Saccharomyces cerevisiae S288C: one gene and its partner. Changing the gene in region 1 together with any one later gene gives a genetic interaction. Each region holds a gene or a part of one and is shown in the gene's direction. Other genes may lie near its edges.

Region 1 (7,499 bases):
AGCTCAGCAGGCAAGGAAGATGAGGAAAAAACTACCAGCTCGAAAGCTGACGAGAAAACTCCGAAGTTGGAATGTTGTAAATACCAGGTGACTTTTACAGACCAGAAGGCTCTTCAAGAGCACGCAGACTATCATTTAGCATTGAAACTGTCGGAAGGCTTAAATGGTGCTGAAGAATCATCCAAAAACCTTTCTTTCGGGGAAAAAAGATTGTTGTTTTCACGGAAAAGACCAAACTCACAACATACTGCCACACCTCAGAAGAAACAAGTTACATCTTCCAAAAACATCTTATCATTTTTTACAAGAAAAAAATGACCTATTCCAAATAGACAATTATATGGCTTCAGCAACTAAAACGTCCTGATAATATTGCTTTTCCAAAATTTCTAAATGATTCACGGGCGCCAGGTTTTGTTGATAAGAAGAACGAAGTACCTTTAATATCTTATGATCGGAAAATACCGACTGATGACTTTTGAGACTTCGCTTTTGATCAAAGTGATAACATTATGTACAATATTCATACTAGGATTTCTTGATAGAGATTTGGAAGTCTATAAAAAAGAAACAACTTGTTATAATTTATTTTTGTAGACATGACTCACAGAATATTACATACCTTCATAATATATAAGATCCATGTGATAATGAATGCTGGAAGCATGATCTCTGACCTCAGCTGATTGTTCAGGGGACTTAATCAATTAGATGCGTTTAAAGCAGGAATTGGTTTGATACACACAATCTCATGTTACAAAGTAACGCTGTTTAAAAACAAATCTGAAGAATAATAATGCAAGTAATATTATACATCATAAAAAAGTTATACACTATCATTACTCTTCTGAAGACCAGATTACAATACAAATTAAGGCAACTTGGCCGAGTGGTTAAGGCGAAAGATTAGAAATCTTTTGGGCTTTGGCCCGCGCAGGTTCGAGTCCTGCAGTTGTCGTTATTTTTAATGTTTTTATTTGGTAGCAACAAAATTTGTCAGTCAATTTCTTTTGTTTTTTTCTTTAAAAGGTGTAACAACGTTATCACTCAAGTATTCGTTTCTTATTATCAAAAGTCTTAGACTTTCTATTAATAGCAGTTTGTTCTTTTCCACAACGCGCTAAAGATATTTCGCTTTCTGACCCGTTTGGTTGCAGAAAATTTTTTTAACTAATTTAGGAATATTTAGATTAGTTAATTGGAGGGCTTATTCAAAGACAGTAGTTACAGCGATTTAAAAGCAGTGTCCCTCGTAGGCACCTGTAGTCATTTCATTCGTTTGGATATTTCGCTGTACTGCTTCCTGCATTGTAATCAAGAGAAAGTTTACAACTTAGAGCACTAACTTTGTTTGTAAACATTTTCCGTTTATAATCAATTGCCATATCATCAATTTTATTATCATTCTTTAACCAGTAACTAACTGATTCCGCACCCACATTATTGAAATTTTTGCGATATCTTTTTCCTCAACTGACGCAGTCAACAGTCAGAAACAGAGAATGTATAAAGATGGTCTCATTGAAAATAAAAAAAATTTTACTCCTGGTGTCATTGTTAAATGCAATCGAGGCCTATAGTAACGATACAATATATTCAACTTCATACAATAATGGAATAGAAAGCACACCCTCATATTCAACATCCGCGATATCCAGTACCGGATCTAGCAACAAAGAGAATGCAATAACATCAAGCTCTGAAACCACCACAATGGCTGGCCAATATGGTGAAAGTGGAAGCACAACAATAATGGATGAACAAGAAACTGGTACGTCCAGCCAGTATATTAGTGTGACGACGACAACGCAAACTTCTGACACGATGTCATCAGTAAAAAAGTCTACGGAAATAGCGACACCAAGTAGTAGCATTGTACCCACCCCTTTGCAGTCCTATAGCGATGAATCACAAATATCACAAACGCTTAGTCACAATCCGAAGTCCGTGGCGGAGTCAGATAGCGATACAACCTCCTCGGAATCCTCAAGTAGCGTAATAATATCCACATCCGATAGTTCAGCGGTACCGAGGGAAATAAGTCCAATAATAACCACAGATTCTCAAATTTCCAAAGAAGAAGGCACATTGGCTCAAACTTCCAGTATCAGTGAAACAACGAGAATTGCACAAATGGTAACCAGAGTTTCACAAATCTCCAGCATAACGGCAGCTTCAACAATAGATGGCTTTAGTAGTGAATCAACACAAACAGATTTTTCCAACACTGTATCGTTTGAAAATTCAGTCGAAGAAGAATATGCCATGAGCAAATCCCAGCTCTCTGAAAGTTACAGTTCAAGTTCAACCGTCTATTCTGGAGGGGAGTCGACTGCAGACAAGACATCTAGCTCCCCCATTACCAGCTTTTCATCTTCTTATAGCCAAACAACGTCAACTGAAACCTCTGAGAGCAGCCGAGTGGCTGTTGGAGTATCCCGGCCCTCTAGCATAACGCAAACTACATCAATTGATAGTTTTAGTATGAGTGAAGTAGAGCTTTCCACATATTATGACTTAAGTGCTGGCAACTATCCTGACCAAGAACTGATTGTCGATCGCCCGGCCACTTCTTCCACTGCCGAAACATCTTCAGAGGCAAGTCAAGGTGTAAGCCGTGAATCTAACACTTTCGCAGTATCTTCGATTTCCACGACAAACTTTATAGTTAGCAGTGCTTCGGATACTGTTGTTTCAACTTCAAGCACCAATACAGTGCCATACAGCTCTGTCCATTCAACCTTTGTTCATGCGACTTCCTCGTCGACTTATATTTCTTCTTCCCTTTATTCTTCCCCATCCTTATCTGCATCCGTTTCCTCTCACTTTGGCGTTGCTCCTTTTCCATCTGCTTACATATCTTTCTCATCAGTACCCGTTGCAGTATCCTCGACGTACACGTCTTCACCATCGGCTTCTGTTGTAGTACCTTCTGCCTATGCGTCTTCACCATCAGTACCCGTTGCAGTATCCTCGACGTACACGTCTTCACCATCAGCACCTGCTGCAATATCCTCAACGTACACGTCTTCACCATCGGCACCTGTTGCAGTATCCTCGACGTACACGTCTTCACCATCGGCACCTGCTGCAATATCCTCAACGTACACGTCTTCACCATCGGCACCTGTTGCAGTATCCTCGACGTACACGTCTTCACCATCAGCACCTGCTGCAATATCCTCAACGTACACGTCTTCACCATCGGCACCTGTTGCAGTATCCTCGACGTACACGTCTTCACCATCAGCACCTGTTGCAATATCCTCAACGTACACGTCTTCACCATCGGTACCTGTTGCAGTATCCTCGACGTACACGTCTTCACCATCAGCACCTGCTGCAATATCCTCAACGTACACGTCTTCACCATCGGCACCCGTTGCAGTATCCTCGACGTACACGTCTTCACCATCAGCACCTGCTGCAATATCCTCAACGTACACGTCTTCACCATCAGTACCCGTTGCAGTATCCTCGACGTACACGTCTTCACCATCAGCACCTGCTGCAATATCCTCAACGTACACGTCTTCACCATCAGTACCCGTTGCAGTATCCTCGACGTACACGTCTTCACCATCAGCACCTGCTGCAATATCCTCAACGTACACGTCTTCACCATCGGCACCCGTTGCAGTATCCTCGACGTACACGTCTTCACCATCAGCACCTGCTGCAATATCCTCAACGTACACGTCTTCACCATCGGCACCCGTTGCAGTATCCTCGACGTACACGTCTTCACCATCAGCACCTGCTGCAATATCCTCAACGTACACGTCTTCACCATCGGCACCTGTTGCAGTATCCTCGACGTACACGTCTTCACCATCGGCTCTTGTTGTCCTGTCATCTACTTCCACATCCTCTCCATATGATATTGTTTACTCTCCATCAACTTTTGCTGCCATATCATCCGGTTACACGCCTTCACCTTCTGCTTCTGTCGCCATGTCATCTACTTCCTCATCCTCTCCATATGATATTGTTTACTCTCTATCATCTTCTGCTTCCAGATCGTCCATTGCTACATATGAATTTTCACCTTCCCCATCTACTTCTTTACCCACCTCTTCTACTTACACATACTTTTCATCTGCTTATGCGTTTGAATTTTCTTCTGAGCGGTACTCAACAACATCCACAATAGCACCAACTCAAATACATAGCACATTGTCCAGGATTACGGATTTCTTACTGCAGACTTCGATGGCAATCCAAAGTATAGTCTCTCAGCAAATTTCTACAAGCTCAACTTTAAATGACGAAATACATTCAAGCGCGCTTTCCGTTTTCAACCCTTCAGCTTCGAATTTGGTTGAAACTTCTCTGATAATTTCATCGACCCAAGCAAGCATAACAAGCCCCAAAAACTCAGCTAAAATTAGTTCACTACAGAGCCAGCTGTCTAGCAGTACAAAAAATCCATACGATACGGCGAACAAGAATACTGAGACCAGTGGCAGATCCACAGTTGTTTCGAATTTCCTATACACATCTTCCGCGGCGAAACCAGACAATGAAAAGTTTTCCGCTACTCCTACAGAGATAACTACAATTTCAAGTAGCTCGCACGCATATTCTTTATCTATTCCAAGTTCTCATAATTCTGTGACTGGACTATCACATAACTTTGTCGATTCGTCAAAAAGTGCAACCTCATTTGGCTACTCATCCTCATCAATATCTTCAATAAAACTTTCAAAAGAAACAATACCTGCAAGTAAATCTGTTTCAAACACACAAGAAAGAATCACAAGCTTTACATCAACATTACGAGCAAATAGTCAGTCTGAAAAATCCGAAGGGAGGAATTCTGTAGGTTCTTTACAAAGTTCACATATTTCATCTAACCCATCGCTCTCCACAAATACAAAGGTTGATTCGAAAAGTTTATCCAGGAAAGTATCGAAAACCATGGGCGAAAATGGCGAGGAAACCGGCTTAACCACAACAAAGACGCAATACAAAAGTTCTTCTGAAACCAGTGGGTCATATTCTCGGTCTTTTACAAAAATCTCAATTGGACCTGCTACGACTGCAGTTCAAACTCAGGCAAGCACTAATTCAGTATTCACAGCCCCTGCCTTGTCTACCTATCCTACTACTCCGTACCCCTCTCCAAATAGTTACGCATGGTTACCTACCGCTATTATAGTGGAATCATCCGAAACGGGCCCCACTACCGCATCATTCAATCCGTCAATCACTGGTTCACTTCCCAATGCAATTGAACCGGCCGTCGCTGTATCGGAACCCATTAACCACACTTTAATTACCATCGGATTCACGGCCGCTTTGAATTATGTATTTTTGGTTCAAAATCCATTATCTTCGGCTCAAATCTTCAACTTTTTACCTCTCGTTTTGAAGTATCCCTTTTCAAACACCTCATCAGAACTGGACAATAGTATTGGGGAATTATCCACTTTTATTCTTTCATACCGGTCTGGGAGCAGCACAACTACCCTTTCCCCAAAATCCATATCATCATTATCAGTTGTCAAGAAAAAAAAAAACCAGCAGAAAAAAAATGCCACGAAGTCAACCGAGGACTTACATCCTCCACAAGTCGACACATCCTCAATAGCGGTGAAAAAGATTGTTCCCATGGTAGACTCTTCTAAGGCATACATTGTATCAGTTGCAGAGGTATATTTTCCAACAGAAGCCGTAACATATCTTCAGCAATTAATCCTTGATGAAAATTCGACTCTTTATAGCAATCCTCAAACCCCACTGCGAAGTTTAGCTGGTCTAATAGATAGTGGGATCCCATTAGGGGGATTGACGTTATATGGCTCTGGAGATGGTGGTTATGTCCCTAGTTTAACCTCATCAAGCGTCTTGGATTCTTCAAAAGGAAATTCCCAAAACATAGATGGAACTTACAAGTATGGAGCTTTGGATGACTTTATCAATTCATTCACAGATTCTGCATCTGCAGGAAAGTATGCTGTAAAAATAATCATCTTTTTGATTGTTTTAACTATTGGCGTACTCTTGTGGTTATTCGTTGCATTTTTTGCTTTCCGTCATAGAAATATATTATTGAAAAGACACCCAAGGAACTGCATAGGGAAAAGCCTCAATAATGAGAGGGAACTTGAAAGTACCGAGCTTTCCCGCTCTTCTTCTGGAAACCAAGTTTATAATGAAAAGCCGCCAGAATCTGAAAATGAAAGTGTTTACTCTGCGGTAGATGATCATTATATTGTGACTGGCGAAAACACAGTCTATAATACTATTCACAGATTACATTATACCATTAATGATGACGGTGATCTATTGTACAGGGACGCAATCCCCCTCGATTTTGATCAAACCAATGGGGATGATGGTTCGGGAATAGACAGTATAGTAAGAGACTGCGTGTATGACAAAAACCAAGATGCTACGGAAGCCTTCTTGAATGATGAGGAGTCCATATCAGGCATTCTAGATGTTGATGAAAATGGTGATATTCGATTATACGACAGTTATTCTGACAATGAAGAGTCAAACAGTTTTCACTTGCCAGACGAAGTTATTGAAAACTATAACAAGAACCATTTGTGCGAAACTAAACTTCATGGACTAGGCACTGAATCATGTACTACAGATGATCCCGATACTGGAAATCAAATTACGAATGAGTTTTCTACAGGGAGTCAGACATGTTTGCCAAGTACCGCTTATACCACACCCCTTCATACAAATTCGATTAAACTTCACACATTACGCTACACAGAATCTTCACTACCAAAGCCAAATCAGACTCTTTTCTCTAATCTTGAAGATTTAGAAATAGAGGATATTGACGACAATGGTAGTGTTTCAGATGTACATATCGAGGAGCTGGATGCTTTAGACGAAGAACTTTATAAGAGAATGTCGAAAGTTATAAAACAACAGAACCATCAAACGACAAAAATATAGCGAAAAATGATTATTGACTGTGCAATAAACGCTGCTGGAAGGGGCGCTTGCAACAAAAGATGATCACAAAAATTGATACCCATTAATACACATAGGCTCACGCCATTACTATTATTATATATATCATCAAGTATTGCATTTGTAATTTTATGAGTCCTTCTTAGTAATACATGAAGGCTTTTTTTTAATATTTTCGGAATCAACGAGAGTACACTATTCTATCCGATGATAACCGAGATAAATGAAGATAGTAACTAACCAATGAAAAAAGAGCGAGAATAAATTAAAGCAATAATATCAAGTTAGTCGTGGGAATATATGATCCACGCATAATAAGGTTACATTAAGCACTGCTTTATCCTCTATGTCTGCTAAGAAAAGGCCTTCGGGAAACGCAGCATTTGAACTTCCAAAACGGAGAAGAACCTACCAAGCTTGCATCAGCTGCAGATCAAGGAAGGTGAAATGTGATCTTGGTCCGGTTGATAACCCACACGACCCACCGTGTGCACGTTGCAAAAGGGAGCTAAAAAAATGTATTTTTAGCTCTAATAAGGGAACTTCGAACGACTTGCCTC
Region 2 (3,321 bases), on another chromosome or scaffold:
TATGTTAACGTTGACTTGAAAAACGTTCCTACTCCATCTCCATCACCAAAACCTCAACACAGAAGAAAAAGGTAAGTGTAAAATCTTTGAAAGAATTTAAGTATTCAACTTTCGTATATTCGTTTTTTCTTAGTGGATCTATTGTTACTATTATCACTATTATTATATTGTAAAAGACCGGATGGTTTTGTTATATATTACATACACATGTTATCGTTGAAAAAAGTTTTCCGTTTCCTTTCGACAGTCATCAGATAATTTTATCCGAGTCTTTTATATGTTAAATCTTGTTGACAAATCGTCCGCTCTAACCCTAGATAACAACAATGATCTTTTTATCATTTCTGGCGTTATTTTAGCGCCTCCTCCCACTAATGTTAATTGCTTATAGTTACCTGAAGGAGCAGCGAGGATGGAGATCGTACTGTGTATACTTGTTTCTTCCGCTTCAGTATCTAGGTCTGCTATTAGCACAGTGTTCAATTTATCCATATCAATGTCCACTTCCTCTTCTTCAGAGTTATCAGAGTTTTGTAATTGGCATTCGGGGTCTAACTCCACTATCCCATAATTTGAAGCAAATGCAATATTCTTTGCGTTTATCATTAACGGTACTGACTTAGTTTGGTCGCAAATAATTTCATACGTTTCTCTTATGGTGGCACTTCTTCCTCTTGTTCTTATAGTCATTCTTAAATCGGACGCACGCTCATCTATAAATGCTCTAGGTAACTTTACGCTCTGTAAAGCGTACATCAAAGAATTCCAACACAAATCGAAGACTGGACCAGTGCGACTCAAGACTACAATTTTCGCATACAAAACGTATGACCATTTTCTTTTCATTTTCAGGTTTGTTTCATTCAGCGTATCATCTTCTAATTCATCGGGATACAAGACGGAAAACGTACCGTCTTCATTCGCACTACGAACACCAGCTTTTACCTTCAAGGCTTTTTTAGGCAATATCCTAGAGTGCAATATGGAATCGTGTAGTTTTTGTGATATAGTCATTTCTTCATCGGTGCAAGCGCCCACTCTACCTCTTTCAACTTCCACCACCGGATAGACAGAAGCATAATTTGCAATTATGTCCTCCTCTTTGGTCACTTCGAACAATTCTTCCTCACCGAAATCATCCAAATCTTTAATCGCGGCGCTAGTTTCTTCTATTATTCCACCCGTAATAGAAGTTATGACTATGGTTTTCCCACTTTTCAAAACATTTGAGCCTAAAATGTTGTTTTTAGTGTCTATATTACCAGCATCCGCATAACGCGATAAAGTATTATTTTCTATAGCAACATCTCTAAATTCTTCATATTTTCTTAGACATGGCCTGATTCCTAGGGATAAGTGTCTTTGTAAAGACAATTCTGGAGATATTCTCGCAAGAACTTCAGGTGGAAAAGTAATTGGGTGTATCTCAATAGTTTCTAACGTGGTACTTTCAGCCATTTCCAATATTAGATGCCTGTGAAACTACTGTCAAACTTATTTGTGTAACAATACTCATCGTCTAATTTGTCCATTATTGTTATATACTCTGTCATAAAAAAAGAAAGAAAAATCTTATACTTTCGTCGACTGTGATTTGAAAATCTCTCCAGATCAAACGGGAATAAAAGGGTTTATATCCGAAGGTGGCCAGAACAATCATGAAGCAAATAGGATAAAAATAGCCAATAAGATGTTTGTTGTCTTTCATCCCAAAGTTCCAACAGCATATTTCAAAGATGGGTATTACAGTAATAGGTTCTCTAAACTATGATTTGGACACATTTACGGATAGATTACCTAACGCTGGAGAAACTTTCAGGGCTAACCACTTCGAAACACATGCTGGTGGTAAGGGATTGAACCAAGCTGCGGCCATTGGTAAATTAAAAAACCCCAGCAGCAGATATAGTGTTCGAATGATTGGTAATGTTGGAAATGATACATTTGGTAAACAATTGAAGGACACTTTATCCGATTGCGGAGTCGATATCACTCACGTCGGTACTTACGAAGGCATTAATACGGGTACCGCTACCATACTAATTGAAGAGAAAGCTGGTGGCCAAAATAGGATATTGATTGTAGAAGGTGCTAACAGCAAGACTATTTATGACCCGAAACAGTTGTGTGAAATTTTTCCAGAGGGCAAGGAGGAAGAAGAGTATGTTGTTTTTCAACACGAAATTCCTGATCCTCTTTCCATTATTAAATGGATACATGCGAACAGGCCGAATTTTCAGATCGTATATAACCCCTCACCTTTCAAGGCCATGCCTAAGAAAGATTGGGAGTTGGTAGACCTTTTGGTCGTTAATGAAATTGAGGGTCTTCAAATCGTGGAAAGTGTATTTGATAATGAACTTGTTGAAGAAATAAGGGAGAAGATAAAGGACGACTTTTTAGGAGAATATCGTAAAATTTGTGAGCTTTTGTATGAAAAACTCATGAATCGAAAGAAAAGAGGAATTGTGGTTATGACTTTGGGTTCGAGAGGGGTGCTTTTCTGTTCGCACGAAAGCCCTGAAGTACAATTCCTTCCGGCTATTCAAAATGTTTCGGTTGTTGATACTACAGGAGCTGGAGATACTTTCCTGGGCGGTTTGGTTACTCAATTGTATCAAGGAGAGACCTTGTCTACGGCTATAAAGTTCTCTACATTAGCTAGTTCATTGACCATTCAAAGAAAAGGTGCTGCTGAAAGCATGCCACTGTATAAAGATGTTCAGAAAGATGCATAAAATCTACTGCAATTTTTTACTTTTAGTTTGTTAAATTTTAGTTTTCGTCATATATATAAAGTTTAAAAAGGTACAAAGAATGCAGTAATAAGAAATGTAATTACATGAGGGCAGTTTAAGTGCTACCTTTTAAGACGGAAGAACTAATACCATAACCGAGAGTAATTACGCAGACAAACGCTAACAACGAAGCAGGAACACCTCTGGAGATAAAAGCGCCTACAGTTAGCCATCTATTACCCTTTTTATCGGTCATAGAAATAGCAGTAACGTTTGGAAATCCAGATGAAGCCAACCCCATACCGCATGAGGCTAACAAGGCGCAACCGAACACAAGAATTGGAGCTGCCTTTGGATCGGATAATTTGTCACCAACTTCTTGCACCAAGGGAATAATGATGATTGCTGACACAGTATGTGAGACAAAAGTGCCCACAACTAACATTAAAATACCGAAAATACATAAGATAGCAAAAACACCATCGTTCTGAATTTTCTTTTGTAATGCTCTTGCAATAGTTACCAACAAGCCTGAAGATGAAACTGCCTTACCAAGGGCTATACCACCCATAGCAAGAACAAC

The links.
Region 2: mutations in HKR1 (region 1) and RBK1 together harm fitness more than expected from each alone (negative genetic interaction), as found in Saccharomyces cerevisiae (2 studies listed by BioGRID).

What each region holds. Positions count from the first base shown.
Region 1 is NC_001136.10:1,304,755-1,312,253, forward strand, and holds HKR1 (Hkr1p), read left to right. Parts: upstream 1-1,512; coding exon 1,513-6,921; downstream 6,922-7,499. Other genes in the region: RAD30 (DNA-directed DNA polymerase eta), read left to right, coding at 1-318; ARO80 (Aro80p), read left to right, coding at 7,286-7,499.
Region 2 is NC_001135.5:191,561-194,881, forward strand, and holds RBK1 (putative ribokinase), read left to right. Parts: upstream 1-1,736; coding exon 1,737-2,738; downstream 2,739-3,321. Other genes in the region: fatty acid elongase ELO2, read left to right, coding at 1-75; exosome non-catalytic core subunit RRP43, read right to left, coding at 274-1,458; PHO87 (SPX domain-containing inorganic phosphate transporter), read right to left, coding at 2,854-3,321. UniProt on the Saccharomyces cerevisiae protein: Catalyzes the phosphorylation of ribose at O-5 in a reaction requiring ATP and magnesium. The resulting D-ribose-5-phosphate can then be used either for sythesis of nucleotides, histidine, and tryptophan, or as a component of the pentose phosphate pathway.